7 linked regions of the Macaca fascicularis genome follow. The main gene of each other region encodes a partner of the protein of the gene in region 6 in a complex. Links are inferred from orthologs where the notes say so. Each region holds a gene or a part of one and is shown on either strand. Other genes may lie near its edges.

Region 1 (4,098 bases), on a different chromosome or scaffold from region 6:
ATGGTGAAAATTTCAACCTGGAAAACACTACTTGAACCCTTTTAGAGACAATTCAGTCTTTATTGTAGGCCTGAGACAGGGCACCCTCAGATACAGTGCACCCTTACTGAACCATAAGTTACCTTTTTTTCAATCAGGCACCCTCCTCCCTGCTCTCAGAACTCGAAGCCAGGTAGTCCACTAATTATTAAAAAACATGCTCATTGCATAAAATCTGGAAAGTCAAGAAAAAGTAGTCAGGGAACACATCTCCCACAACCCCACCATCCATGGGCAAACACTGTTAACACTCTTTAGCCTATTTCCTTCCAGTCTTTTTTCTAAGCTCTTGCCACATTTTTGGGACCCTGCCATTTGCATGCCGATGCAAAACATGTTTCCATTCACTAAAAACTCTCAACTTTTGGTGGTCACATGTGCGTCCCATAATTTTATTGATTCCCTACTGTTGGACATTTAGGCACTTTCTGATTGTTGATGAATATCTCTGCACATGAAAGAGGCTTTGTGCATATCTCCATCCTTTCATTTGGATGTACTCCTCTTCTTTAAAACATTTTTTGGCAAAGGAACCTCTCTAGCCTGCTGGGACACCCTTTTCCCCATCATCAGGGATTTCTTCCTCAAGTCTGAATTAAATCTTTGGGATTGGAACTTAATCCTGTTTCCCTTACTATGGGGTGTTGGCGGAGATGGACCACAGCTGGTCTTGTTTTTCCCATGGAATGTCGCCTGGGAGGGTCAGTAGTTAATCATCAGCCTAGAATGGAGAGTGGGATGTGCCTGTGAGCTCAGGAGAATTAGCCTAGACTGAGATAAATAAAGACAAGGTTAACCCGGACAAGGTGATGGAGGAAGCAAAGAAATTGGTGGACTGGGGTGAGTCAGTCTGATATCAGCATCCTATGTAGTACTGAGTAGTGACCTTCCTTCCTTCCAGACCCTGAGAGAAATCTCTTGGAAAGAGTACCCCAACCCTGCTGCCAGCCTTCAGGCTCACGTTCTCCAGTGCTTTGTAGCAGCCCTTCCTATGACACATGGAACAAGAAGCCAGTGCTGATTGCGCACGTGCCATGTGCCAGGCCCTGTGCTATGCCGCAACTTATACAGTCATATTTTGGGGCCAGCACGATACAACCAGAAGCACCCTGGAGGCGGGCAGACCTGGTTCCAGTCTCTGCACAGGCATTTCCTACCAGTGTGACCACATGGCAATCATTTACCTCTGAGAACCTTAGTTTCCTCATCTGTAAATTGGGATTTGATGGCACCAGTTTCCCAGGATTGCTGTGGTGACTCTAACCAATGCCATACTTGTAATGCACCAAGTACCCGGCCTGCAAGGAGCAGGTTCTCGAGATAAGCTATTTTCTCATGATATTGAATTCTCCTTATATCCCAGCTCAGATATAAGGAGAAAATGCCACCATCCAGACCCAGAGATGTCAAAAAATGTAATCTATCCAATTGCCTTGGATAACCTCCAGGGACAGGAAACTCATTAGTAGGGAGGAATTTATAACTTCCTTTTATAAATAAGGAAACTGAGGTGCTGAGAGATTATGCCAGGAGTCTTCACAGGACAAAAACTGCCATCTGAGAGACGTCATGTCTAGAGGAGCATCAGCCTCAGGATAGGTCTGGAGTGGAGGCTGAAGCTTCTGGGCCCCCCACATTCCCTAGGCCCTGCCCTGCTTCAAGTCCAGCCTGGTCACCACCCAGCTTCACCGACTTACCCTCTCTGGCAAAGGACACAAAGGGGACCTAGAACGTAGAAATGACTTACCAAGAGGCAACCACCTCCAGGACTGGGCCCACCTGAGCTAGGGCATGACAGCTGCCACTGGGGGCCACCACAGCACACAGGCACTTTCCTGCCCCACCTCGTTCACCTCACAACACCTCATGGACGGGGTGGGGGGATTAGCATGGCCCTCAGGAGGAAACTGAGGCTGTCAAGCTCAAGGTCAATGCGCAAACTGGGATTCCTATCAAAAGAGGCCGCTTGCTCCGCTCATCCCACAGGCGAATCCACGTCCAGATGTCCCCAGCAAGGACTCCCACCCGCTGAGCGCTGCCTGTCGTGGCTCCAGTCAACGGTCGTCGGGCAGCAAGCCGCAGCCCAGCGGGATGAAGGCAGGTCGTTCTCGTTCCCTGAGACATAGAAGCCCCCTCCCCACCAGCCCTCGCCCTCCGCTGGCTTCCCTTTAGCAGAAAGTTGCTCCATGCTCCGACAGACACATCGCCGCGAGAAAATGCCACCACCCAGACCCAGGGACAAAACGGGGACTGTTTCGGCGCAAGTGGACTTTCCAAATCCACCCCTCGCGGGCAAAGAGGACATAAAGCCGAACCGTGTCCCGAGCACCGCCGCGGACTGGGACTGCATCCCGAGCTCTCAACGCCCCCTTGGGGAAGGCACAACCCCGGCGGTCACAGAGAAGGAAACTGAGGCTCACAGGCCAAGCGGAGGCACCTGCCCAAGGTCAGGCACAGCCAGGGAGCGGTGGGGCCGGGTCTCGAACCCGGGTTCGGGGCCACGACCGCCGCCGGGGATCCCGGAGCAGCCCCTCAGGCGGCTCCGCCAGCCCACGACGGGTCCCCAAGCCCGCTCGGGACCCCACCCCGCGCCGAGGCCCCGCGGGGAGGCGGCGGCCGCGTTACCTGGTGCTGCTGCCGCGGGCGTTGGCTCCGCACCCGGTTCGCCTCGGTCCCGCGCCCGCGCCGGCTGCGCTCCGGGCAGGGATGGAGCGGGCGGCGCGCGCACGGCCTGCGCCCCGCGCCTCGCACCCACTTCCTCGTCTCCGCCCCCAACTCGCTCCTCCTTGCTCTCAACGCTCCTTCCCTTCCTTCCCTCTCTAAGTCTCTCTCTCTCTCTCTCTCTCTCTCTCTCTCTCTCTCTCTCTCTCTCTCAGCGCGCACACACCCACATTTTCTCCCCCAGTCTCCCTCTCCCACGGTCTCACCCACTTTCTATTTTCCGTTCTCCTTCACCCTCCCTCCTCATCTCGCCGACTCTGACACTTGCCCCTTCCTCTTCCTTTCTGACACACTGCCCCCTCTTTCTCTCCCTTTTCTCCCTGGCTCTTTCCCTCTCCCCGCCCCGCTGATTGCGAGCCCGCCCTTGACCGGACAACCGCCTATTCCTGAGCCCCATGGTTCACCTGCGCAGATACTGGCTGAGTGGCCACAGCTGGAGACCTGCCCCGGGTGGGCGCTGGACCCAGGGGGTCAGGTGGCAGCCCTCACGTTGGGCGCCCAGGGCCCAGCTAGAGTCAGGCTAGAAGGGGGAAATAACTAGTTTTGAGGAAAAGCTTGAATAATTCTGGAATCTGAAATCTAGAAACACAAATGCAGAAATTAATTAGTTCAGGGGTTATTAATTACCAAAAAAAAAAAAAAAAAAAATCAGGAAACTTCAAAAACCCTAGAGTGGCTTTGTTTTGGTTGAAGGAAGGGATGAAGAGAGAGAGAAGTAAGGAAGTGGACTTTGGGAAAAGGGGTTTTGGGATAAGGAGAATAATGCCCGCCTTCCAGATGAGAAAACGAAGGCTCAGATGGGAAAACCCGTCTCCTGAATATCAAGATATCAAGGCCACTGTGCTAACCACACAGATCTCCGTGGAGGGAGCCTGGGTGGGCAGGATGGTGAGAGATTTTCGCCAGGCCTGGACAGCAGCCCAGTGCCGGGGAGGCAGGCGGTCAGCTGGGCTGACCGGGTTTGCTTGGGGAGCCTGGTGTGTGGAGGGGGATTTCCGTGGAAGCTTGGCAAAGGATGGTGAAAGCGAGGAGGGTTCAGCTAGCATGCATTTCAGACACATGCCACTGCTGACTGATGCACCACCTCAAGCCATTCTGTCACCACGGACCAGCCCTGTGCCAGGGGCTGCGAGGCAGAGGACGAGGGGCCATGGTCCCCTAGGTCTCAGTTCACAGCTTCTGGGGAGGCTATTGCTGCACTATGCATCCAAGTCATTGTCATCTTGGAATGACAAGAGCCTCCAAACTGGTCTTCTGGACGCCTCTCTTGCTCACCTGCCATTCACAAAGCAGCTCAGATAATCTCTGAAAAGTGTAAATCAGATCGTGCCTGTCTAC
Region 2 (3,973 bases), on a different chromosome or scaffold from region 6:
TGGCTGGGGAGGCGCGCGGATCCCAGGCCTCTCAGCGTCCCCAGAGCGCAAACAGCGGCCGGCTGGCGCCTCCCGCAGTAAGTAAGTGGCGATGCCAGGACGTACACATTCGCCAGCTACCTGTGCAAACAGCGTCCGTTCTCTCCACTGTATGATTGTCAGCTTCTTTGGTGAGTGCTGACACCAAGACAAGCATAGACAAAGTGGTCTGCACACCCTCCTCCTCCTCGCTCTCCCCCACTGGCCCGGCCTTGTACTTACAAGTCCACTCTAAGAGACACCTTCTAGCCACTTGTTTTGAGTCCAAGGAAACAAAGGAAGCAGGGGTTGTGCACTGCACGAGAGAGTTAATCTCAAGTCTGCGCGAAGACAGGGAATCCCAGGGGCACCGCTGGCACGGGGAAATCAGCCTCTTCCGCCTCTCTGGACCAGCAGATTCGTGCATAAGGATGGGCGAGGGCGGAGAGGGAAGCAATGAAAGAAAATAAAAGATAAAAATAGGGAGGAAAAGGTGAATATTTCAAGGGCCAGAGGGCGGGAGAGATGGAGCAAATTCCCGAACCTCAAGTCCAAGTTCTAGAAGTTGGGTGATAGGGTGGAGCTCCTTAGTGGGCGCGGCGGCTGTGTGTACAGTTTATTTATTTTTTAGTTTTTGGATTTTCTGCCTTGAACAGCTAAGGATTAAACATCTACCGCAAAGATTTAGGGGATAGAAGAGAGAAGAGGCAATTGCTGGGATCAAAACTGATGCTAAAGGCAAAGTCTGAGCTAAAGTCGCTTCTCACAAACGGAATTTTCTGGGCTCTCACGCCCCGCCGCTGGGTCTCCTTTGCACAAAGCGCCCTGCGCTGGAGCGGGAAGTGGGGAGGGGACCAGGTCCGCAAGCCGCGGGCGGAGCAGAGAGACAGAGAAGAAGTGGCAAATTATCTTAAGTGTTGATTCCCTAGGGTTGGGGGAAGCATAGTGAATGGGGCAGATCCTGTAGCCCCGACTGGCCGGCTACTTCTTCGTCATCACTGGCGGCAGAACTTACACTTAATGATCTTCTTAAACGCGTTTTGAAAGTCCTTGTTGAAGTATGCGTAAATGACCGGATTAAGCAGAGAGTTGGAGTAACCCAGCCAATTGATTATGGCGCCCAACAGCGTTGGCATGTGGCAGCTGCTCTCGCAGAAGGGCAGAACAAGAGCCACGATGAAGAAGGGCAGCCAGCAGAGGATGAAGGTGCCCATGATGATGCCCAGCGTCTTCACTGTCTTCCTCTCTCGGGCCAGGGCCATCTTGCGCTTGGCATCGTGGTTGCGCTCATTTTTCCTCTCGAAAGAGGCGGAGGCACAAGGGGTAGAACCAACCTCGCTGGGCAGAGGCAAGTGCTCTTTGGAGTTGCCCACTCGGTGCACCTCGATCACCTCTAGGGCGGCGCCATCGTCGCCTTGCCTCACCGCGCCATTGGCGCACAGAGCACCCCCTGCCTTGCTCTCCACGCCCAGCCTCCAGTTCCTGCCCCCCGACTCTCCATTCACGCTCTTCTTGGGCTGCGGGGTGGGAGATGCTCCATGACGGGTGTCGGCTCCGGTCTTCTCCACCTTTTTGACCGTCTTGCGGATGCGGAAGCGCGCAGCTCGGAATATGCGCCCATAGAGAACCAGCATGAGCAGCAGCGGGATGTAGAAAGCTCCGAAAGTGGAGTAAATAGTGTAGCCGTGGTCCTTGCTAATGGTGCATGCGTCGGGGTCCGAGCGGTCTTCCGGGGTGCGCCAGCCCAGCATGGGCGGGATAGAGATGAGGAAGCCAATAAGCCAAGTGAGCGAGATGAGCGCAGCGGCGCGCCGGGGCGTCCTCTTGTTCACGTAGTCGATGGGGTCCGTGATGGCCCAGTACCTGTCCAGCGCGATGGCGCACAAGTGCAGGATGGATGAGGTGCAGCACAGCACGTCCAGGGCGATGAACAGGTCGCAGGTGACCTGGCCCAGTGTCCACTTGTTGAGCACCTGATACAGCGCGGCCATGGGCAGCACTAACACCGACACCATGAGGTCGGTGACCGCCAAAGAGCCAATAAGATAATTGGCCACGTTCTGCAGGGAGCGCTCCAAGGCGATGGCAGCCACCACGCACGCATTGCCCAGCACCGCGCAGAAGATGAGCGTGCCCAGCAGCAGAGAGGTGATCACTTGGTAGCTGAAGGTCACGTCGGAGATACCAGTAGTGTTGCCGCCGGTCTCAAAGGGACCCGGTGATGATGTGGTGTTGTTGCCCTGACCAGGGCTGAGCACATCCATGCCTGCGCGCCCGGCGCGGGAACGGGGAGGGAAGAAAAAGCAGCGCGAAGATCCGCCTCGCCCCTTCCCCTGGGGTCTTCCCCCACGCTTCTCCAGGGAAGTTTCGGAGGAAGGGAATGCAGGCACCCAAGCAGGAAGTTCTTACTGCTTCAGCGAAGGTATCTCTGAGGAGCAGCTTTCAGGCGCTCCCCCGGCTCGCGCAGTCCAGCGCGTTCAGAGGCTCCAGCTGGGAAACTGGAGTTGGCCTGAAAGCAGCTCCAGGATCTCCGGGCGGCGGAGAGGTGGCTGGAACGTCTGTCTGTCGCTGTCCATTTTACTTTGCCGCTCCCAAACTGGCTGTCGGAGGAGCTGGAGTCTCTCCTCTAGCAAACAGTCTCCAATCCCAGAAATATCTAGAACGGAGAAGCCCCATCCTCCACTGTCACTCTGTGACCCTCCTCTCCCTGTTTCCTTCCTTCCCTCTCTCCCCCTCTCTCCTCCTCTCTCTTCTCTCTTTCTCTTCTGCCTCTTTCGACCCCCTTCTCCCCACTTGCCTTCCCTTTCAGTCTCGCTCTTCCTCCTCACTTCCCTTTATTTATCCCTCTGTGAGTCGCTTCGAAAGCCAGGCTCCCTCCCTCCCATTCTAACCCTCCCCTCCTAATATTTCCCCAACCCCAACCCCGAGGAGTGCCTCTTTCCTCTGGGTCCCCGCCCTCCTCTCCCTCAAGCTCAGCGTCTTTGCTTTCCAGTCCCTTTTTGTCAACAGAGACTCAGAACTCACTTACACACACCGGATCCCTGTCGGTCAGACCAAGGTTGTAACAGATAAACTCCTCCTCCAATCCAGTCAAACTGGGGAGGGGGTATTCGGGGAGAGGGAATTCCGACTACTCATTGCCTCATATTATCTGTCAAATTCTTAAATCGTGTCAGCATCCCTGAGTGGCAATAGGAGATGAGTAAAGGAAGCACAGGGAGCCTGAATGGGAAGGTGAACAGTCCTGGATCAGTCTCCCAATAATTGCTAATTGAAGGAAGAAGACGGAGTGTGTCTCGTTTTTAAAAAGTTACCTCCCTCCGTTCTCGCGCCACTGCACTCCAGCCTGGGCGACAGAGCGAGACTCCGTCTCAAAACAAACAAACAAACAAACAACAACAAAAACGCTACCTCCGTTATCATCTAACAGTCAGACCGGATTCTTTCGGGGAGGATACTGCCTGTGACATTTTTTTTAACCTTGCGGAACTAGGAGAGAACGAAATTATAAAGGACGTGTCAAAGGACAAGGAGAGGTAAACAACTGCAACTCGAAATGAAGAACAAAACTCAATGTGATATATATTCTAAACACACACACACACTTTTCCATCACTACTACACTTGTAATTTCAGTAACACTGTCACTTTGTGGCTAGCAAATTCAGGGATGGAAATATTTTGCATATGTGTTTTAAGTGAAGCCTGGCATTTTATATGGCCGTTTGCACTTCCTACCAGAGCCTGCAAACCTCTGGGGGAAACTTGGTGGAATCCCTGTTCGCTAGCCGGCTAGCCTCTCCTATCCCAGAAACTGGGTTCAGCACCTGGGACAGCTCTAAGCAATAAGGGTTTATGTCGCCACCTTCTGGCAAATGTTTTAGAGTGCCGTCTAGAAACCCTTATGCAGAAATAAAGCAAGTATTGAGGAAGTACAACTTCTTCTAGAAAGAGG
Region 3 (4,022 bases), on a different chromosome or scaffold from region 6:
TCCTGTATTAGAAAAAAGCAGCAGCCCAGTAAAAACATCAAGAATAGCAGTAGGGAGCTTGAAACCAGGGACCAGGCACCAGATCCAAACCTGAGAGGACGAGGGAGGAGAATACCAGCTCTTCTGTGGGTACGTCTCTCCCTTCCAGATCACCTGCCGGCTGCAGAAGCTCAATATTCTAAAATGCCTGGTTCTTCACTTAAGGCAAATACTGTGATAATAAAATATCCTTAAACAAATGACGGCTGAAAGCTGAAAATGCAAACTTTTTTAAAAAGACCTAGATAAAAGGCAGTGTGCACTCAGAGGTAAGTAACTCCGTCCAGTTCTCCAGAGTCCTGCAGGACTGCGCCGACTTCCTATCCCTATTTTGAGGACAAGCAAAGTGAGGCCCAGAGAGGAGAAAGGTTTTATTCTCCACGTTTTCGCAAAAAGGGCACAGAGAAACATTTGGATGGGACTTCGGGGTGACCAAATGAAATGCAAAGGCAATTTCCTTAAGTGCTGAAAAGTGCTAACGCTGAACGGCTCCATACTCTTACGTTCACCGGACGTACCCCCGTACTTCAGCCAACCAGTGGTTATGCTCGTTCAAAGTTCTCCTTCCTTCTACAGGTCGCATCTAGGTCACGTCTGTACAGCGTCCCTTTCTGCATTGTGAAGAGATCTGTGATATTTGACCCGCTGGAGGAAAAGTCACACTGACCCTCAGATCCCCCCATGGTAAGGCATTCTGAGATACCTGAGCTGCCTCTACACACTGAGGTTGAAAGTTTGTGTGTGTGTGTGTGTGTGTGTGTGTTTTTCTTTTTTAATACAATCAGTTTCAGGGAGGGGGGATACTGAGGTAAAGAAGTGCACATACCTTTCAACTGGTCAGCAACCACGCTGTGGCCCAGCCGTTCGATAACTTTCCCGTCTTCCATTTCGTACCGGTCATCTAAGTATTTTGCAGTGGCCTCAGAAATGTGAACTTTGCCGGCCACTCCCAGCTGCTCCATGAGATTGGCCAGGTTCACATCGTTGGACCACACATCAAATTTAAACCTCCTCATGCCCAGGATGCCACACAGGACGGTACCCGTGTGCACCCCGACTCGCATGTTCACCATCTCCTTCTTCTCCTGGCAGAACTGCTCGATGGCCTTGATCATGCCCAGGCCCATCTCGATGCAGCAGTAGGCATGGTCGGCCCGGGGCTCGGGACAGCCCGCCACGCAATAGTAACAGTCTCCCAGAGTGCTGATTTTCTCACACTTGGTTTCCTCACACAGGCGGTCGAAGCGACCGAACAGATCGTTCAGGAGACCCACCAGGGCGTGGGCGGACTTGTTGGCACTCATCTTGGTGAAGCCCACGATATCTGCAAATAAAATACTGACTTCTTCGATCTGCTGCATCTTGAAAGGGCGGAAGGCTATAGGCGCTTTTTGGATGGAAGACTTTTTCTTCCTGTTCTTGGGGCTCGAGGTGGCATGCCTCTTGACAGAATTCTCACTCTCCTCATCCCCCTGCTTCATTAAGTCATCGGCTATGATTCTTGGCATCACGGAATGAATCATCCTCTCTTTGAGGGCTTTTTCCACTTCCAGGTCCTTCCCGTGCATAATGGATTGCCCTACCTTGAGGAAGGTGCTCCTGGACCTCACCTGGGACATGATGAACAGGTGGACCCCGATGGCATGGATGCAGCCGTGGAGCAGCGCCCTGCTCAGCAGCTCCCAGTGCAGGGCCCCGGCTCCGCGCGAGGGGAAGCAGGCTTCATCCCGGAAATGGTAGCCAAAGGTCTCGAAAAGGACAGAGTAGGCCACCCCCAGACACAAGCTCAGGTACAAAGGTAAGTGCATGACGGTATAGAGCAAAAAGAGCACTTCGATGCACATGGAGAAGCTCCCCACTTGAGATAAGCAAGTATCTGTGGGCTGGGCTGTGGCCGTAAGGTTGGAGCTGTCGCCGCGTCCTGAGACAGGCGTCAAGACCTGGAACTGCGCAGCCAGGGTCAGGGCGAACACCAGCAGGGTGAGAGCCAGCGAGGTCCACGCGTAATGCCGGGCGTACAGCTTGGTGAAGGTAAACAGAAAGAAGCCCACACACACCACGAGGAAGCACAGCGCGGGGCCAACCATGACGATCAGTCTGGATCTCATGTGCACCGCAAAATAGATGCTCCACAGAAGGCAGGCGAAGCCGATGTAGAAGAGCGCATACCGGAACCGGCGCTGGGTCTGCGGGAAGCAGCGCTCCCGGCAGGCCTCCTCCAGGTTCACCGAGTCGAACTTGGGGTCCCACCAGCGGCTTGAGGCCCTCTCGAACAGCTGGGGCAGCTTCTTCTGCCTGCGCAGCCGGCCTCCGCCGCCCACTCGCCGGGGGACGCCCCCGGAATCCCCGGAGCTGCTGCAGCTGGAGGAGATGCTGTATTTGCAGTGCTTGGGATGGCTGTTGGAGGACAGCTGCTTGGGGTTGATCTTGACGCGCACGCTGTTGCTGTCCCCGCTGGAGTCGCAACTCACCTCGGTGCTGTGGTGATGCAGCAGCTGCTGGTGGGGCGGGGAAGCCATGTTGTCGAGTCCCGGGGCCTGCCCGGGCCGGGGTCACCAGTACCTGCCAGCAAAACCGGGAGAGTTAGCTGCGCTCCCACCTAGGCATGCACACCTGCAGGCCGGGGACCTGCTCCCGTCCTAGGTGGCGGCTCCAGCACGCGACTTGGACAGGCACCATCTGCTCCCCGAAACTGTGGATCCCGGCTCAGCCGTACCCCCACCGCCCCTACCTTCGAGGCGGACGAGAACCGCTTGGGACGGACCTAGAGCGCCCGGGGGTCCCCGCCGCGTGGCCGCCGTGGGTCCGGGACCGCTGTGCTCGCTCGCCTTCAGCGCCGCTCGCCCCGAGGGTGGCCTCCGCGCCGCGCGGCTTCTCCTCCTTGTGCGCTCGCCTCCTCCAGCTGCGGCTCCGGAGGGAAGTTCAGACCTTGAGCGCTCCCAGCCCCGCGAGCCGCCTGCGCACAAACAACTCCGCCGGCGGCGCGGAGCCCTCCATCCTGCAGGAGCCGCGCTCCGATGCGTCAAAGGCGGCGCGCGGCCGGCCCCGGCCCCGACCCGGAGCCGCGAGCTTCGGCGGGCGCCCCCGGCCCGCGCTCCCCGGCCGCCTCCCGCACTCCGGGCCGGCCCTGCCCGCGGCGGCGGGCGCCGGGGGTGGGGGCGCCCCGGGCTGCGAGTGCGCGGAGCCCGTCGGCGCGGCCCGTCTAGCGGGGCCTGCTTCCCCCCGAGCGCGCCGCCGCCCCCGCCGGGACCGCCGCTGTCCCGGGACCGAGCGCGTGGAACCACGGACGCGGGCCCCTCGCCGGGCGGCGGTGCAGACGCTGCCGCAGAGCCGGGCTCCTGCGACGCCAGCCGGGACGCCCGCCCGCCCGCGCCCACGCCGGGGGCAGCCTCCCAGAGCTAGAGATGCGGCCGCCGCCGCGCCCGCCGCCGTGTCCCCCGCGGCCGCTGCCTCATGTCGGAAGAGCCGCCGCCGCCACCACCTCCGGCCCCTGCCCCGCCCGCTGTCACTGACAGACGCGCGCCCGCGCCGCCCCTCGCCCCGCCGCAGCGCGCACGCGCGCCCCGCGCACGCCGCCGCCGCCTCCTGGCCCCGGACACGCGCACGGGCCGCGCGCCGCCCCGCCTTGGTGCGCGCGCTGGGCTCCGGGCTGCGGGGCGGGGCGGGGCGCGCACTCGGCTCCGCCCTCCGCCCCGGGCGGCGCCGCTCCTCGGCCGCGCGCTGCGTACACTGCGGGCGCTCCGGGCGCTGCGGGCCGGGTCTCTCTGGGCGCCCCAGAGACCACTCGCTGCCCGGGGTCCCGGGCTGCGGAGAGACCTGAAGGCGCGCGCCGTGGAAGGGAGCCGCTGGGCGCAACGTTTGGGAAATCAAAATGTTGCCTTCCCACTCGGCACGCCTTTGGGATAAATCGAAGTTTCCAACCGTTGGATTTCCCTCCCGGGAGGCTCCCTTTGCTCTGTAAGCAATGAATGCGGGCCCCGGGG
Region 4 (4,259 bases), on a different chromosome or scaffold from region 6:
GAAAATAGAGGCAGAAGTATGGGTTTGTAACCTTTGAACCCTGAATCTGTCCTTCCTTGCTTATCCAAAATGGGGAGAATCCAGTTCTAATCTCTTTGTATTAATGTTATCATATTGTAATTTAAGATCACTGGTATCTAACCCCTCTACATTAAGAGCAAATTGAAGGGCATCTCCCAGCTGCAGGAAGAACTCAGATGATGAGTGAAAAATTCTGGGGTTAGGGGAGTGCAATATAAGCAGGCTAACCTGTTTCAATGAAACAGATAATCAATGAAGACACCTGCATCATTTGTTTCCAAAAGTTAGGCCTTGCAGCCAAGGCTTTGGCGTTCTAGAGAAAATTAGCTCTAAAGACCAAGGCACCTAGGCAACCTAGCAGAGAAGAAGTTTCGTGAAGTCAGAACCCAGGTGTTTGGGTGAGGGTAGGGAGTTGGGGCAAAGAAACACTGGGCTTCTAAAAAAGAAATGTCTCCCCTGAGATGAATGACTTGTTGGCACAAGTTTCAGGAAAGACAAAGCTCTAAAAATATCATTGTAAAATTAATAATACTTCTCCAAAGTAAGGACTCAACTCAAACTATCCTTGGATGCAATTAAAGTGGCCTTGGAAGAAGCTTTCAGATGTGGAGGTACTCACCAGTGTCCTGACAGCACCTTCATCTCTGAAGAAGTCATCAGAGGGAGCCACTACCTTTGATTTTATGACCACAGATGAGTTTCCTTTAATCTGAAAGAGATTGGCTTTTGGCATTTTTTTTTCTTAGGTTTTGTTTATTTATGTTCTTTTAAGCTTTAAAAAAATGTCATTGCTGTGCTTCTTATTCCTCTGGCTGACTTCAGAATTGAGGACCGGGAATCCTGAAAATTTGCAAAGTTATCTCCTATCCTCACTGCCTTGGAACACCCATTATTCCACTCTCTGTCTAATTTCTACTCATGTTTCAAGTCTAAACAGGAAGATTCTTCTGTGATCATGCCTCTCTCTTTCGCATGAATTAAATGCATACATTATGCTAGTAATGCTTCTGGAATGAAGGAATAATCGAAAGAAAGAAAGTGGGGGGAGGGAAGCAGGGAAAGTAAAATAAGAAAGGCAGCCTTATCTGGAAGGAGCTCCCAAAAGTGTATCTCTTAGCACATATCAGAAAAAAAGGGTCACCAAATATCCAGACAATGAAGGTATGGATCAGTAGGAAGAATCTGAGGGAATTTGGAAAGGCTACATTTTGGAAAAAGCATTGCTCTCCCAGGGTTCCCTTTTAAAAATTTAAATAAACCTTGAGAGTAGTGATGCATAAATGAATTTGAGCTGTCACAGTTCCCCCTTTGGAAGAGGGCCTCAGAGTTTATAAAAGACCCTAAGTGGGGGGTGGGAGGAGACAAAAGGGGTGGGATGTCAGTTTCAAGTTTCCAGGGCATTCTCTGATTGTGCTCTATGTCCCTGCAGACTGCCAGTGTGACCTCACCCTCTCCAGTCACCCCTCCTCAGTTCCAGCTATGAGTTCCTGCAACTTCACACATGCCACCTTTGTGCTTATTGGTATCCCAGGACTAGAGAAAGCCCATTTCTGGGTTGGCTTCCCCCTCCTTTCCATGTATGTAGTGGCAGTGTTTGGAAACTGCATCGTGGTCTTCATCGTAAGGACGGAACGCAACCTGCACTCTCCGATGTACCTCTTTCTCTGCATGCTGGCAGCCATTGACCTGGCCTTATCCACATCCACCATGCCTAAGATCCTTGCACTTTTCTGGTTTGATTCCCGAGAGATTAGCTTTGAGGCCTGCCTTACCCAGATGTTCTTTATTCATGCCCTCTCGGCCATTGAATCCACCATCCTGCTGGCCATGGCCTTTGACCGTTATGTGGCCATCTGCCACCCACTGCGCCATGCTGCTGTGCTCAACAATACAGTAACAGCCCAGATTGGCATCGTGGCTGTGGTCCGCGGGTCCCTCTTTTTTTTCCCACTGCCTCTGCTGATCAAGCGACTGGCCTTCTGCCACTCCAATGTACTCTCACACTCCTATTGTGTCCACCAGGATGTGATGAAGTTGGCCTATGCAGACACTTTGCCCAATGTGGTATATGGTCTTACTGCCATTCTGCTGGTCATGGGAGTGGATGTAATGTTCATCTCCTTGTCTTATTTTCTGATAATACGAACGGTGCTGCAACTGCCTTCCAAGTCAGAGCGGGCCAAGGCCTTTGGAACCTGTGTGTCACATATTGGTGTGGTACTTGCCTTCTATGTGCCACTTATTGGCCTCTCAGTGGTACACCGCTTTGGAAACAGCCTTCATCCCATTGTGCGTGTTGTCATGGGTGACATCTACCTGCTGCTGCCTCCTGTCATCAATCCCATCATCTATGGTGCCAAAACCAAACAGATCAGAACAAGGGTGCTGGCTATGTTCAAGATCAGCTGTGACAAGGACTTTCAGGCTGTGGGAGGCAAGTGACCCTTAACACTACACTTCTCCTTATCTTTATTGGCTTGATAAACATAATTATTTCCAACACTAGCTTATTTCCAGTTGCCCATAAGCACATCAGTGCTTTTCTCTGGCTGGAATAATAAACTAAAGTATGGTCCATCTACTTAAAGGACTATTATGTGGAATAATACATACTAATGAAGTATTATGTGAATTAAAGACTACAATAAAACCAAACATAAAGATACATGATTGAAGCCAAGTTGAAAAATAGCATATGTCTTGGAGGAAATGTGCTCAAATTGCTAATGATTTAGTGTTGTCCCTACTTTCTTTTTATTATTATTATTATCATTATTATTATTATGGAGGTATTGGTTAACTGTCATGTACAACATTTTTTTTTTTTTTAGATGGGGTCTTGCTCTGTCACCAGGCTGGAGTGAAGTGGCACGATCTCGGCTCACTGCAACCTCCGCATCCTGGGTTCAAGCAATTCTTCTGCCTCAGCCTCCTGAGTAGCTGGGACTACAGGCACGTGCCACCACACCTGGCTAATTTTTTGTATGTTTCAGTAGAGACGAGGTTTCACCATGTTGGCCAGGATGATCTCGATCTCCTGACCTCGTGATCCACCTGCCTCGGCCTCCCAAAGTGCTGGGATTACAGGTGTGAGCCACGGCGCCCGGCCCATGTACAACTTTTTAAATAGGGAATATGATAGCTGGGCATGGTGGTATGCACCTGTAGCCCCCACTACCCGGAAGGCTGAGGTGGGAGAATCGCTCGAGTCCAGGAGTTTGAGGTTCAGTGACCCATGATCGCACCACTACACTCCAGCCTGGGCAACACAGCAAGACCCTGTCTCAAAGCATACAATGGAATAACATGTCAAATGAAATAGGGAAAACGAAGCTGATCATTTATGTAAGCCAGGGCTTGTCACAGTCTCTATTGTTATTATGCATTACCTGGGAATTTATATAAGCCGTTAATAATAATGCCAACCAACATATCACGTGTGCTCACAATGTTCTGGCACTATTGTAAGTGCTTTACAGGTTTCATGTGTTCTTCATAACTTGGTGGAGTAGGTACCATTTGTGTCTCTTTATTATAAGTGAGAGAAATGAAGTTTATATTATCAAGGGGACTAAAGTCACACAGCTTGTGGGCACTGCACCAAGATTTAAAATTAAATTCGACAGTTGAATACAGTTACTTAACTACCACGTTATATTGCTTCCTGGGTAACATCTGCCATTTATTTCCTCAGCTGTACAAATCCTCTGTTTTCTTTCTGTTACACGCTAACATCAATGGCTTTGAACGTGTGATGAGAGATAATCCTGCCCTAGTTGTGGGCAACACATGCAGAATACTCTTCCTGTTTTACAGCCACCTTTCATGGTCTTATTGCTTGCTTCTTTCCAGATTCAGGGAGAATGTTGTTGTCTATTTGTCTCTTACATCTCCTTGATCATGTCTTCATTTTTTAATGTGCTCTGTACCTGTCAAAAATTTTGAATGTACACCACATGCTATTGTCTGAACTTAAGTATAAGATAAAATAAAATTTTATTTTAAATTTTGCTGAGTGTTATGCCTATCGATTTTACATTTATAGAATCCTATAAATCAGAGTTGGAGATGTGAGATATTCCCTAGTCTTCTTTCTCACCAGTGCAGGAATCCTGACTGGAATGGTTCACACAATAGTAAGGATGCTGAATGCATCTTATTTCAATGTAGGGTATTCCCACTGTACTGTTGAGCAGATCCAGTGAGCAGCTGAGATCTGAATACAATCATTGGGCCTA
Region 5 (4,167 bases), on a different chromosome or scaffold from region 6:
GTTGAGCTATGATGTGTCCCATTCCTGACAGTCTTTACAGGATGGTGGCTAAATTGAATAAAAATGCACCTCGCACAGCATCTCCGGAGGTTCCCCAGCTACAAGGGATCTGATACACACAGATTTCCCCCACACTATCTGCCCCCTCACTCACTCTCCACAGAGGCACCGCTGGCTCCAGAGGATACACCGCCCTGCCTAGAATCAACCTAAGAATCAATATTATTTTAAACATTGTTTACTGCATAAGTATTTACTTATTAGAGAAACTGAAACTGTCATTTCAGATCTCATTTATCATGCCTGTTCACACAGCTCACCTTCTGATGTGAAACACTAGGTCTAAGTTCAATACTCTTAAACATTTACTTAACACGTATCAAGCGCCTTTCTAAAAATAATTGTAAAACACACACAACGTAAACGCACCATTGTAACCATATTTTAAGTGTACAATTCTAATAGTGCTAAGTCCATTCACATTGTTCAATTTCTTTAAGTTCTATGTGCTACCGAATGAACAAAATGATGCCCATGCAATCTAGGTTCACGAGGAACAAAAAAAGAAGAGAAAGAAACGGTTAAACGGTGCAGTGAAAAGAAAAACAGCCCTTTTCTTTTCATCCCAACAACAGGTTGGGATGAATCCAGGCCCTGTTGTTAAAACGCTGCATGGCTTTAGGTAAATCATCTAACCTTTTGGGGCGATCTTTTCCTCGTCTGAAAAATGAGAGGTTCAATTTAGACGATCTTTAAGAATTCTTTCAGCTTTAAAGCCAATTATGTAGAAAAGGAGAGGAGAAACATTTCCTAAGGAGCAAAAATTGGGGCGCGCACCAGTAACGACCAGCTCCACCTGTTTCCAAAGGTCTTGGCCAAGAGGCTATGAACTATCCCGGGCGAGTAGCCTGTCTGCCATGCTGTTTCGCGTGGAGCTCTGTAGCAGGCCAGAGCTCCTGCACCCCATTCCACCCTCAGCATCCGGGCATCTGCCTCTTGAGCACCCCAAATCCCCAGGTCCGGAGGTCGGCACCTCTGGTTCTCAGACCAGGTGTAGGTGGTCCTGCAATCACACCTCCGCGCTCGCGTGTTATCAGGGGAGGGAGTGCATTGCCAGGAGGCCCCCGAGTGCATCTCGGATTAGCGCCTCCGGGGCTGGGAACCAGCACGCCGGAGCAGGGCAGCTCCAGACGTCAATCAGGGCGAGAGGCAGAGAACAACGAGACACGCCAGGCCAGCCCGGTATGCCCAGGCTCCGGCAGGGAGCTTTCGGCCGAGCGTGCTCAGTGCGCCTGCCCCGTGCGTGCGCGCGCGCTCGTGCGCTCGCTCCCCGGGCCGCGCGCCCTGGCGCTCGCGAAAGCTCGCTGTCGCTGGGAGGCGCGCGCCGGCGGTCCTCCGCCGCTCCGGGTACCTGAGGGACGCGCGGCCGCCCTCGGCTGGCGGTGCAGCCCCCACCGCTTTGGAGCCAGACGCCGGGGTCTGAGGTGAGCCCCCCGAAGCGTGTGGGCCCCTGGGCCGGGGCAGCGGGAGAGGGAGCGGCGAGTGTGGAGCCCGCGGACGCGCCGCGCGGCTGCCTGCTGCTCCGCCTCAGCCCGCGCCGAGGAGCCAGCAGCAGCCCGGCGCCTCCTCCTTAGGGATCGTTCCTCTCGTCGCGGCCACAACAAAAGCCTTGGGCACCGGGCTGTGGCGGACGGCGGAGCGGGGGCCTGGGCCCGCGGTGGCGGCAGGGGGCCTCGGGGACGCCTAGTTTGGGGCTGAGGGCTGACGGGGGAGCTGCCCCTGGAGACGGTTAACCCTGTCCGCCCTGAGCCCGCGCTCGGCAACCTGTGCGAGTGTGGACCGCAGTTCTTTCGCCTCCACCCCGGCCCAGACCCTGCGCGGCTGGGAGAGGGGCCTGGCTGGGAGAGGGGCCTGGCCGGAGCCGGCGGCAGCGCGGGGCGCCGGGGGGCGTGGGCGGAGGACAATGCGCCGGTGGCTCCCTGCAGCCCGAAGCGCGCGCCGCCAGGCTCCCAGCCCCGGCTCGGGTCAGCTTCGGGCCCACCTTTGCCTGCCCACGCCTGAAAGTTTCCCCGCCGGTCCGTCAGTTTGCAAAATCCTTGCTCCCTTCCGCGAGCTTCCCCCGGCTGCCTCCTCCGCGGGCTATGGGTTTGCCGTGGGGTGGCCACTGCTCGATGCCCGAGGGTCCGCATCTGAAATCAAGCTGTTGTGAAATAGCCTGCAAGGTTATGGAGCCTTATGTCCTTTCAAGACATGTAAACATTTTCCTAGAGGTGTTTTACATCCTAGGAGTCTTGAGTTCGATCCCTCTGTTGTAAGATAAGCCAAGGGGGCTTTTCTTGGCTTTGTTTTTAAGAACAAAAGCACGTGCCATGAATTGAGGCAGAGGAGTAGACTTCAGATTTAGAGAGATCGGCCCCATGAAGGAGGTTCGGCGGTTTGCCCAGTGTAGAATGACTCTTTGAATTTTGGTTCCCGTCTGGATTGAGGGAGATGCAGCGGCAGTACAGCAGAGCAGCCACATCAGTGACTGCTATGGGAAAGTGTTCAGACACAGCTTCATTTTAGAGAAGTAATTCTGATCGGGAATGCTTATTGATGGGAATTGAGTTACTTTGTAAAGCCAGTATGATATGAGCAAGGAAACAAAGACCTGACTACCCCTGGGGATGTTACCTCCTTCCCTCATCCTCCTTTAGTCCTTGGTGGTGTGCTGGTGCCGTTCCTGCATTTTAGTCTGGAAAAGGAATAGAAATCCTTAGTTCTATTATTAAGAAGTGGTTACTCTTGAAGATAATGCTTTCCGTCTTTACTATTAAACAAATCAATACTATTTTTTTCCTCCAGAAAAAAAACCCACAAAGATTAAAAAAAAAAAATCAGAGTCGGAGAGCCTAGGAAAGAGGTGTAAGAGCTTGACTGGGCGGGGCTGGAAGGATAGAGCTGAAGATAAAGTATAACTAAGAGGCAGCCCTTCTACTATACCCCCGTCCCACCCCATTGTTTGAAACTGTTAGGAAAATAAGTAAATTACGGGTAAAGCCTATCATTCTGCCCTCTCTTTCCTCCTATCCTTTTTCCCTCATCCACTACTAAAATTCTGTATCTCCATTTCTCCTAAATCTGTAAAAGCGTCCCATTTATAAAAGGAGAAGAAGGACAATGAGCCGTTTCCTCATCCTAGCTACTCTATGCTTCTGAGCTTTATTTTGTGCTTTGAGCATTCAGGTGGATATTTCTTGGGAGTTCCGTGATTGAGATATTTGAAGTAGAGAGGGCTAAGGGAATTTAATAGCAAAGTGCACATTCTTTCTTTGTATAGAACAAAGTGAAAGCTTTATCACTGGGGAAGGAGAGAGGAGTTTTTTACTCACAATAAGTTGTCTGTTTCCCAGGAAACAGACTTAAATTTCATATTAGTTTGATAGTGAAACTCTAAGATTTTATATTCAAAACTTTTTCTGAGTATGTGAGTTTGTTGATGTTAAGCTGCTGTTGACTTTCTTTTCCTTCAGAGACAGATAGTAGGAAACAATTCGTACCACTTCTTTGAGCGGTTTTGGCCCGAAGTTTTTTTTTTTTTTTTTTCCTATCCCCAGAATTCTACAATTATGCATGATTAAAACTGCAGCTGTGCACAAAAATAAAAAGAACGATTTTGAAAATATGTACTGGATAAATTATTCAGCATAGATTGGAGGAAATTTTGTGGTAGTCTCGAGGAAAGAAATTAGATTTTCAGTAGTGATATTTCTGTAATGCTAGGAACAAGTGAAGTGTAACAGCTTCTTACTGGCTAGGAAAGAGTTTTACCTACTATGTCAAAAAATCAATTTCCTCTTTTTGCTTTCCAGTTCATCATGTTGGGAACTATTGACAGTTCGGTATATTCAAGGAGTGTATTGCACATTAAGTTAGAGATGAATATAACTAGGCTAGTGGACCTGAAAACCAAATCCTGGTCCCCAGATTTTATCTCATTAAAATAATTCCGTAGTCAAAGCATGCAAACCATACAGCCTTGTTAAGGGGGATGGAAAGCAGGGACTTGGTATTAGAGAATTTTTTGATAGCAGATTTAAGAGAAGCTGGGCTGAAATTTCAGCCCATTTTAAAGTCCAGAATCTATCTGTCTCTTAACTTTTCAGTTTTATTTTCAGGTCAATTTTT
Region 6 (4,227 bases):
CTAGCAAGCTCTTCCCGCCTTTGGCTGGATCCCCTCCTCCCACTGTCGAGCCCCGAGCCCCAGCAGGCAGCCCTGCCACCCCCTACCCAGTTCCCCGGCGGCCCTGCTGCCCGCAGGCAGAGTCCGCCGCATTACCTAGAAGCAGCAGGCGGTGCGTACACATGTAGCCCATCTTTTCGTCCTGGAGTTGTTTGTCGATGAGCTTGCTGCGTTTCTTCTCTGCGCGCTTCTGGGCCCGCTTCTCCAGGGCTTCTTTGCGCATCTGTCTGCGCTTCTCCACCAGGGGTACCTTCTTGACCTTGGAGGAGTGCGAGGCTTTGGGCTGGGGACTCTCAGATCGACCGAAGCAGCCCCCGAAGGCTTGCATGAGGAAGTTGCGGAGTAAGTTGCGCTGGGGCTTTCGGCGGCGGCGATTTCGCCGATGCTGAAACCAGCGGATGCATCCGAAGGTCCCATCGTCGGACTCGTCTCCGCTGGAGTCATCGTCGCTGCTGGCCGCCCCTTCATCGTAGTACACGCGGCGGCCGCAGCTGCGCTCGGACTTGCCCCGCCAGGCAGACGCGCGAGCAGGCCGCGGAGTAGGCGGATCGGCAGCCTGGATCTCGGGGCTGGGGGGTCTAAGGTGATGGAGCTTGCGTCTGGCCCCGGAGGCAGGGGCTGCCGAGGCCGCCCGGGCGGCTTGGGCTGCCCGGGTGGCAGAAGCGGCTGGGGCAGTGGGAGCCCCGGCGTCAGGCGCAGCTGGGGCGACATGGGCTGCCCGGGTCTCAGCAGCCGCAGGGGCCGCGGGAACCTCAGGGGCTGCCCCGGCATCTGGATCGGCTGGGGCGTCAGGGGCTGCCCCGGCATCTGGAACCGCTGGGGCGTCAGGGGCCGCCCCGGAGTCGGGATCGGCCGGGGCGTCAGGGGCCGCCCCGGAGTCGGGATCGGCCGGGGCGTCAGGGGCCGCCCCGGAGTCGGGATCGGCCGGGGCGTCAGGGGCCGCCCCGGAGTCGGGATCGGCCGGGGCGGCAGGGGCTGCCCCGGAGTCGGGATCTTCTGGGGCTGCCCCGGAGTCGGGATCCGCTGGGGCTGCACGGGCTGCCCCGGTGGCGGTATCCGTTGAAGCTGCCCCGGCGGCAGGGGATCCGTACCCCGGAGAGGGGACTTTTCCTCCCTCCGCGGCATCAGCGGCTGTGCTTCCTTCCATCTCTGCTGCTTCCTCCTCAACTGGGGGTCTCTCTGCTCGCTCTCTCTTATCTGGGGCTCCGGAGACCTCGATGGGCGGGCCGTCAAGCGCGATTGGGGGGCTGTCCATGTTGACGGGAGCGTCGTCGACCCCAGCGGGGGCGCTGCCAATCTCGAGCGGGGGTCCGGAGATCTCCAACGGGGGGCCGCTGCCCGTGAAGTTAGGAGGAGGTCTGACAGCCTCTCGGGATGGGCTGCCGATGGCGCCTGGGACCCAGAGGGGAGGCGCGTTCGCGGCGGGAGTGAGGCGGACCGCACTCGAGGCCGCGACTGCCGCGAACTGGCCACCGCGGTCAACTTGTGCGATAACTCGGGAAAGCCCCGGGGGTGGGCTGTCGTCCCCAGATCCTTCTCCATCAAGCTCAAATGGCATAGTCTCCTCAGGGGGAGGGCTGTAGCCTCCTCTGGAGCCAGTCTTTGGAGGCCTGAGGGCTTGGGGCTCCTCGGGAGGAGCTCCGGGGACCCCTGCAGCACCTGGGCCTCCTGGAGCAAGGTCTGGGACCTGTAAGAGAGGTTGACTGCAGCCTGTCTTGGCAGGCTGGTCAAACTCAAAGGGCATAGCTTCTTCTGGTGGAGGGCTGTATCCTCCCAGGCCTGGTCTGGCACCACTGAAGGCTCCAGGTTCCACGAATGCTGGGCCGAAGGCCTCAAGGCCTGCATGGGCCCCACTGGGGGATCCAGGCTGCTCCAGTGTAGGCCAGAAGCCTCCCAAGCTGGGCTGTTCGACCTCGAAGGGCATTGCTTCCTCAGGAGGTGGGCTGTAGCTTCCATGGGCTCCAGCTTCCCTGAATGCCGGGTTGAGGACCTGAAAGTTGGGCCTGGAGACCTCTGGGGGTCCACAGGCCTCGCTGTCATTCTTGATGGGGATGGGCTCGTTGTGAGGCGGTTCGGTCTCCATCTCTTCGGCTGGGCTAGGCCCAGCACCGGGGGCAGCTGCCCCTGGGGCCTCCAAAGATGGTTGATCGGGCTGTTCCCCGATTTCAGGGGGGATATCGCGTTGTCCTGACATATTATTGCCGTGGAGGCAGTTGCGCACGCCCATAACAGGGTGGCGGCCTCTCAAAATAAGTTTGGGGCTCCGTAAGACGGAGCACCCAACCGAACTAGGGTGAAAAAATTATTATTGTTATTTTTAAATCAAAGTACCAGCTGGAAAGTTCACCAGCCTCACTTTCCAACCCTTGTGAGGTTGGGGGGCTTCAAGGCCTGGAACCCTAGACTGAGGCTGAAGCAACTCAATTGTTGCTGGTGGAGTCTTGGCTCCTTTCTGGCCACTTTTTATCCCCTCAGTATGCCCCCCAGCCCCTCTTCCTTGGTCTGTCCTTATGCCCTCCTCTCTCTTTCTTTCTCCTCCAGGCCAGTCCCGCCTGCTTGGATCTGACGAGCGTGCCGATTCGGTCCGAAAATCGCCAGTAGCGCTCTCTCGCTGCCACCAGAGGACGCCGGTTCCAGTGCCGAGCTGGCTCCAGCTCCAGAATCCTGCTCCTCGCGCCGCGGCCCGGGACTTTGGGTAAGGGGGCTGACGAGCGCAGGCCTCGCAGGGACGTTTTGGCTCCTTCCACTCCTCTCCCTGACTGATTTGGAATCTTTCTCCTCGCTTCTCCCCTGGCCAGAGAAAGCTCTCCTGCGTTGCGGGACACGTGACGCAAGACGTGGGCCTCGGGACGCTGGAGTACAGGAGCTGAAATCCTCCCTCCCCAACCCAACCGACTCCTCGGGGGAGGGGGGACTGAAGAAGGGTTTCATCACCCCAGGATACCCCTGAAACACTGAGTCATAGCCCCCAGCCTCCAGGCAGCTCCGGATCTCAAGCCCCTAGTCCAGAGCGCAAGGCTTTTGGTGCCTGAGAAGGGGCACAGGCATGCGTGGGGATGCGACAGGTGGTCGTGAGCCCACCAGAGAAGCAGAGAGAGACGAGGGAGAGGGGATGCCGAGTATGCGAGCACACAATTTGTTTTTTAAATGCCTTGGGTGTACTTTTTACTGCTTTTGTTTGTTGCTTGCTGAGGTTGGCTCCGGTAAAGCACTTTAACAGCCCCCACCCTCATCACACTCTAGGGGTCTCCGCAGTGGCCCACGCAGCGCAAGCAGGGTGCTCCCTTGTTTATGTGGATGGTGACGCAGGGGAATAAGAAGGTCTCGGGTGCGTACCACCAAGAGCAAAGCCCCCTAGGCAGTAGCTGCGGTGGCACCGATGGAGGGGTGGGGGGCGTGCTGCGCAGAGGGGGACCCCACAAAGCGGCCGCAGAGTTTCGCAGGTCCTGCGGTTCTAGGGAAGGGTTAAAGGGGATTTTGGTTGGCGTTTATGGCCGGTTTAGGGTGATTTCGAGAGTGGACAACGCTGTGGGCACTGAACCCACAGATAAACACCATGCCGCGCGGCAACCGCAGCTGAGGTGCGCTGCTCGCTGCTTCGGGTGCCGGCCGCAGCACCGGTCAGTCTGCTCCTTTAGCCCCACTACAGCCTGTCTCCAGCACCCTTCCAGCCCCTCTCCTCTCGCTATGGGTATCTTAGGGTAGTCGCTTTAGTTTTCCACTGCTAGAGCCTACTGAGGCGGCACTGAGCCCGCCAACCGGCCACAAACCCGGCGGTTGCCCGCGCAGCTGCGCTCCCGCTACCATGCTGCGGTGGGCTCAGAGCTAGCCAAAGGTAAATACCCAAACCACCTGGTGACCTTGGTGTGTGCACATGCTATGCTCTGGTCTGGGGTCTGCAGAGGGATTTGAGCCCGGGAGAAAAGCTGCTGTTAGGGGGTCACGTAAAACCCGGCAGGTGCGCATCAGGTCGGTCTCACCAGTAAGACAGATTGGTGAACCACGTCTAGGCACAGAGCAGCTGGGCAGGAGGCAGGGGGTCACCTGACCTGCAGAGTCCTGCGGGAGGAGAGGCTGGATGAGCGTTACACAGGGCGGGCTGCAGCAAGCAGGGCGCACAGCACGGGCTGCTGTATGGGAGCTGCAGGCGGGCGAACCACTGCACGGTGCGATACCGTCTAGTCTAAC
Region 7 (3,531 bases), on a different chromosome or scaffold from region 6:
TCCACTAGAAACAGCAGCCTAACTATAAAGCCGATGTTACAGAAGGCAAAGTAGAGACAGAAAGAAACAGTGTTAAGCTGCTGGATTCGGCCTCTCCTGAAGTTGGTGATCCCTGGACTTTTCAGTTATATGAGCCAATTGATTTCGTTTATGTTTAAAGCTTGACAGATTTTCTGATGCCAGCAGTCAAAAGCATCCTAATACAGAAAGGAAGCAAGAAAGAGGATGTAGGAATGGACCGTCTGAAGGCAGATGAGGCAACGAGTATTGGGTAGGAACGAACTGTAAAAAGATCTAGATGCCAGAAACTGGGGCTAAATTTGAGCTATGATTTCCCACTTGACAGATAAGTAAACTGAGACCAGAGGGTTAAACATCAAGGAGATTCTCTAAGATTACACAAGTTAGCTGCACGCGGTGGCTCACGCCTGTAATCCCAGCACTTTGGGAGGCCGAGGCAGGTGGATCACCTGAGGTCAGGAGTTCAAGACTAGCCTGACCAACATGGTGAAACCCTATCTCAATTAAAAATACAAAATTAGCTGGGTGTGGTGGCACATGCCTGTAATCCCAGCTAGTTGGGAAACTGAGGTAGGAGAATCACTTGAACCCGGGAGATGAAGCCGAGATCACACCATTGCACTTCAGCATGGGCAACAAGAGCGAAACTCCAACTCAAAAAAAAAAAAAAAAAAAAAAAAAGATTCACAAGTTAGTTAATTGTGGAGCTGGAACTAGTAGCCAAACCCTCTGACTCTCGACTCAGCGCCCCTTCCCACATACCATGCAAGTACCAGACCCAGGGAGAAACATACCCCATCCGAGTGCCACAAATCCCTGGAGGTACTTTCTTTCGGAGAAGAAGGAGATGGCGAGGAGTGTGTGAAGGTAGAGGCCTTCCACCAGCAGCCAGGAGTAGTTGGCCATGATGCAGTACTGGAACAGCACCATGACCAGCTTGCAGCCCGCCTGGACAGAGAGAGGCAGCTGAGCCCAGGCCGGGTGGCAGTGGGGCTCCCTCTGGTGAGTGGCCCCAAAGAGAGCAAGAGGGTGTTGTAGGGGCAGGAGCCAGGCCACAAGAACAGGCCTCTGGGGTTCAAGGCCATCTTCTGTGGCCTTCCTCCATCAGGCCTGCAGCATTCTCTAGAGAGTGGGAGTCCACAGACCTGGTGGGTTCAGTCAAGCTGGCCAATGAGCCATCACAGGAGCAGGAACTAGGTTCAAATGCTAGCACTGGCTGCCAGGCTAGATGAGGAGACAGTCCTTCAACCACAAAACTGTGCCGGATACTGCCCAATCCCCTCATTTTTTCAGATGAGGAAACCAAGGCCTAGAAAGGGAAGAGATTTCTGAGCAAAGGGTTAAAAAAAATGTTTTCTAAGCTCAGTTCCCTTGCAAACACATAATGATGGGATGTGCCAACTCTGTTAGGAGGCACCACTGATTATGGCAAAAATGGCCCTGGCTGGTACATTGCACTCTCCACATATCTGATGGGAATGTCATAGAGTTGGACTTCCCCCATGCAGTGACTGACTCTTTTAACAGGCATGTCCCCTGCAGGGATCCCTGGAAGTTATGCTGATAGAATTGTGGGGCACCAGGCTTCTACACCAGCACAGCTCCTGTACCTCTGCCGTGGTAGGGCCTTTGTCCTTTTCTTTGCATTGAGCTGTCCCCTGAGGATGGGACAGCTCCTGGGATAGCCCTAGGGCTGCCGCAAAGACAAGCCCGAGAAGGAGGAGCACCCAGTGCTGCCTGTGAGACAGTGGTGGTTCCTGCCTTATGGCCTTCCCAGAGGCTCTGACTCCAGGCAAGGCCCATTGTTGACTTGTGAGTCTGATGTTTAGTAAAACTTGAGAAGGTTCCCTGCTGGGGCGTTGCTGGCCTTGTCCACTGCTGGTCAGTAATGAAGCGTGGCTAGGATTTAAGGCTCCTGACTCCCAGCAAGTACTCTTGTTTCATCCTGGAGACCTCCTTGAGAGACATGGATCCTACTTGAAGAACCTCTCAGTCTGAGTCAGACCTCTCAGTCTGAGTCAGAAAACACACACACACACACACACACACACAACTATGAACAATACAAACAGGTGAGTGGTAGGAAATGGCAAGCAGGCTGGCTGAACTAATCTCAATTTCCAATCTGTTTTCTCCCTTGCTCGCCTCTCCAATAGAGACTGTGACAGTAAAAAACTCAATCACCCTGCTTCCTTTGCAATTAAGTGTGGTTACATGACTCAACTCTAGCCAATGAGATGCAGGATAGGAGTTTCTGGGGAGGGTACCTTTTCTCAATAGAAAGGCAAAGCTGCCCAAAAGAAAAAAAAATGTTTAACCTTTTACCACGTAAAGCATGACATCAAAGGCCTACTCTAAGGATGGCAGTGCAGAAACAGGGAAAAAGACTGTGTCCCTCATGGCATCGCACAGCCATTGCGCCACCTCATCTGTGGACTGTTTCTGTAGGAAACAGTTCCCATTTGTTTAAGACTCCAATATATAGTTTTCTGTTATTTGCAGCAAAGGGAATCCCAATTGACACACAGGGTGATTGCAATGAATTGAGTCATCTGGGCATTTGGAAGGAGAAAGGGGGTTAGATTTAAGAAAACACAACTGTTTTATCGCAAACGCGTTTATACAGACATACTGGCCCGTGCTCACTCTTTTCTTTTTATGACCAACCCCCACCCTCTACAGACCGGGTCATCTTTCTTCAGCTAGGAACTGGCAGAAGTAGGCAAAAGAGGCATCTCCCTCTATACCTAATTCCTAGAGTGGCTAGTTCACTCCTGGACACTGCGAGTTTACGGCAACCCCCACAAGCTTCTCTCCTACGTGACCCAGATTGTGCACATGTGGCCGTGGAATCTCCCTGAACCTCCTGGCCCAGCGTCAGCACTGGCCACTTCATCCTTGGTATTAAGTGCAGCCTCAGCAGGGGCTTGGAGGAAGGATAACTAGGCTACTTCCCTCTCCAAAGTTAGGCTGGGGAAGGTAGGCAGGCCTGGCGACACCCCGGGGCACCCAGGCATATTACCCTGTGGGCATCGCAGTAGGCGATATCATCTGAGGAGAAGAGCACAGCGTCCTTGATGAAGTTGGACAGGGCGCGAAGGATGAAGGACACGAACAGGTGCATGTGGATGTAGTTGCGGGTGCAGTGGAGCCTCCTGCAGGGAGAGAATGTAGGGCCATAGAGGCCAGAGTCCGCTGAGGGGCTGGGACTCAGCCAGGCCCACCTGCCTCTAGTGCACTGGGGAAACTGAGGCCCTAGACTTCAGCTCTTTCTGGGTAACACATTCTGTGAGCATAACCTGAATGAGGACGAGGGTCCCCAGATGGCCAGTCTAATTTGCTACATGCTGTAGTGAAAAAAAAAAAAAGGCCAGCCACAGTGTGGCTCACACCTATAATCCCAGTACTTAGAGAGGCCAAGGCAGGAAGATCACTTGAGGCCATGAGTTCAACATATTGAGACCTCTGTATCTACAAAAAAAAAATTTTTTTTTAAAATTAGCTGGACAT

Evidence for each region.
Region 1: the proteins of GNAS (region 6) and HRH2 are in contact, whole or in part, in a cryo-EM structure (PDB 9IXJ), measured with the Homo sapiens proteins. The link is inferred for Macaca fascicularis from reciprocal best matches to the Homo sapiens genes GNAS and HRH2. Residues at the interface, in NP_000507.1 of Homo sapiens: Gln35, Arg38, Ala39, His41, Asp215, Lys216, Val217, Asp343, Leu346, Arg347, Thr350, Tyr358, Phe376, Arg380, Asp381, Ile383, Gln384, Arg385, His387, Leu388, Arg389, Gln390, Tyr391, Glu392, Leu393, Leu394; in XP_006714928.1 of Homo sapiens: Arg116, Ala119, Val120, Met121, Pro123, Leu124, Arg125, Tyr126, Pro127, Val128, Ile205, Val208, Ala209, Gln212, Ala213, Arg215, Ile216, Ile219, Ser220, Trp222, Lys223, Lys231, Ala232, Thr235, Leu236, Leu291, Asn292, Arg293, Asp294, Arg296.
Region 2: the proteins of GNAS (region 6) and HTR1A are in contact, whole or in part, in a cryo-EM structure (PDB 9GL2), measured with the Homo sapiens proteins. The link is inferred for Macaca fascicularis from reciprocal best matches to the Homo sapiens genes GNAS and HTR1A. Residues at the interface, in NP_000507.1 of Homo sapiens: Ala39, Asp215, Lys216, Val217, Arg342, Arg347, Thr350, Ala351, Gly355, Tyr358, Phe376, Arg380, Asp381, Ile383, Gln384, Arg385, His387, Leu388, Arg389, Gln390, Tyr391, Glu392, Leu393, Leu394; in NP_000515.2 of Homo sapiens: Asn69, Ala71, Asp133, Arg134, Ala137, Ile138, Pro141, Ile142, Tyr144, Val145, Asn146, Arg148, Ile218, Ala222, Arg225, Ile226, Lys228, Thr229, Lys232, Val233, Asn325, Arg327, Asn328, Lys332, Arg339, Lys342, Thr343, Thr346, Leu347, Asn404.
Region 3: the proteins of GNAS (region 6) and ADCY9 are in contact, whole or in part, in a cryo-EM structure (PDB 9U3P), measured with the Homo sapiens proteins. The link is inferred for Macaca fascicularis from reciprocal best matches to the Homo sapiens genes GNAS and ADCY9. Residues at the interface, in NP_000507.1 of Homo sapiens: Ile207, Glu209, Phe222, Arg228, Arg231, Arg232, Lys233, Trp234, Ile235, Gln236, Phe238, Asn239, Glu268, Leu272, Ser275, Ile276, Asn278, Asn279, Arg280, Trp281; in NP_001107.2 of Homo sapiens: Ala381, Phe382, Arg383, Phe1070, Glu1072, Tyr1075, Glu1076, Glu1080, Cys1081, Arg1083, Val1084, Glu1087, Asp1091, Phe1152, Asn1155, Met1156, Leu1157, Trp1158, Phe1159.
Region 4: the proteins of GNAS (region 6) and olfactory receptor 51E2 are in contact, whole or in part, in a cryo-EM structure (PDB 8F76), measured with the Homo sapiens proteins. The link is inferred for Macaca fascicularis from reciprocal best matches to the Homo sapiens genes GNAS and OR51E2. Residues at the interface, in NP_000507.1 of Homo sapiens: Gln31, Gln35, Arg38, His41, Asp215, Val217, Phe219, Tyr358, Phe376, Cys379, Arg380, Ile383, Gln384, Arg385, His387, Leu388, Arg389, Gln390, Tyr391, Glu392, Leu393, Leu394; in NP_110401.1 of Homo sapiens: Met58, Tyr59, Asp120, Arg121, Ala124, Ile125, Cys126, His127, Pro128, Leu129, Arg130, His131, Ala132, Leu135, Asn136, Asn137, Ile220, Thr223, Val224, Leu227, Pro228, Ser229, Glu232, Lys235, Ala236, Thr239, Cys240, Lys294, Thr295, Lys296.
Region 5: the proteins of GNAS (region 6) and FZD3 are in contact, whole or in part, in a cryo-EM structure (PDB 8JHI), measured with the Homo sapiens proteins. The link is inferred for Macaca fascicularis from reciprocal best matches to the Homo sapiens genes GNAS and FZD3. Residues at the interface, in NP_000507.1 of Homo sapiens: Lys34, Tyr358, Gln384, His387, Leu388, Tyr391, Glu392, Leu393, Leu394; in NP_001399840.1 of Homo sapiens: Arg232, Lys318, Ser321, Glu322, Leu397, Val400, Lys408, Lys413, Leu414, Phe417.
Region 7: the proteins of GNAS (region 6) and SCTR are in contact, whole or in part, in a cryo-EM structure (PDB 6WZG), measured with the Homo sapiens proteins. The link is inferred for Macaca fascicularis from reciprocal best matches to the Homo sapiens genes GNAS and SCTR. Residues at the interface, in NP_000507.1 of Homo sapiens: Gln35, His41, Val217, Phe219, Thr350, Tyr358, Phe376, Cys379, Arg380, Asp381, Ile383, Gln384, Arg385, His387, Leu388, Gln390, Tyr391, Glu392, Leu393, Leu394; in NP_002971.2 of Homo sapiens: Arg174, His178, Tyr239, Leu240, Leu243, Leu244, Ala245, Ser247, Phe248, Ser250, Glu251, Arg252, Leu320, Lys323, Thr326, Gln327, Thr329, Arg339, Arg342, Ser343, Leu347, Tyr388, Leu391, Asn392, Gly393.

The regions. Positions count from the first base shown.
Region 1 is NC_088380.1:182,529,808-182,533,905, reverse strand, and holds the start of HRH2 (histamine H2 receptor), read right to left. Parts: upstream 2,801-4,098; 5' UTR 2,665-2,800; intron 2,486-2,664; exon of another isoform or gene 2,092-2,485; intron 1-2,091. UniProt on the Homo sapiens protein: The H2 subclass of histamine receptors mediates gastric acid secretion. Also appears to regulate gastrointestinal motility and intestinal secretion. Possible role in regulating cell growth and differentiation.
Region 2 is NC_088380.1:69,610,978-69,614,950, forward strand, and holds the start of HTR1A (5-hydroxytryptamine receptor 1A), read right to left. Parts: upstream 2,832-3,973; 5' UTR 2,283-2,831; coding exon 1,014-2,282; 3' UTR 1-1,013. UniProt on the Homo sapiens protein: G-protein coupled receptor for 5-hydroxytryptamine (serotonin). Also functions as a receptor for various drugs and psychoactive substances.
Region 3 is NC_088394.1:4,895,165-4,899,186, forward strand, and holds the start of ADCY9 (adenylate cyclase type 9), read right to left. Parts: upstream 2,824-4,022; 5' UTR 2,771-2,823; intron 2,602-2,770; 5' UTR 2,559-2,601; coding exon 866-2,558; intron 1-865. UniProt on the Homo sapiens protein: Adenylyl cyclase that catalyzes the formation of the signaling molecule cAMP in response to activation of G protein-coupled receptors.
Region 4 is NC_088388.1:69,722,702-69,726,960, forward strand, and holds the start of olfactory receptor 51E2, read left to right. Parts: upstream 1-1,450; 5' UTR 1,451-1,500; coding exon 1,501-2,463; 3' UTR 2,464-4,259. UniProt on the Homo sapiens protein: Olfactory receptor. Activated by the odorant, beta-ionone, a synthetic terpenoid. The activity of this receptor is probably mediated by G-proteins leading to the elevation of intracellular Ca(2+), cAMP and activation of the protein kinases PKA and MAPK3/MAPK1.
Region 5 is NC_088382.1:31,668,037-31,672,203, forward strand, and holds the start of FZD3 (frizzled-3), read left to right. Parts: upstream 1-1,353; 5' UTR 1,354-1,484; intron 1,485-4,167. UniProt on the Homo sapiens protein: Receptor for Wnt proteins.
Region 6 is NC_088384.1:114,906,104-114,910,330, reverse strand, and holds the start of GNAS (guanine nucleotide-binding protein G(s) subunit alpha isoforms XLas), read right to left. Parts: upstream 2,801-4,227; 5' UTR 2,267-2,800; coding exon 136-2,266; intron 1-135. UniProt on the Homo sapiens protein: Guanine nucleotide-binding proteins (G proteins) function as transducers in numerous signaling pathways controlled by G protein-coupled receptors (GPCRs).
Region 7 is NC_088386.1:12,318,355-12,321,885, reverse strand, and holds part of SCTR (secretin receptor), read right to left. Parts: intron 3,177-3,531; coding exon 3,044-3,176; intron 970-3,043; coding exon 816-969; intron 1-815.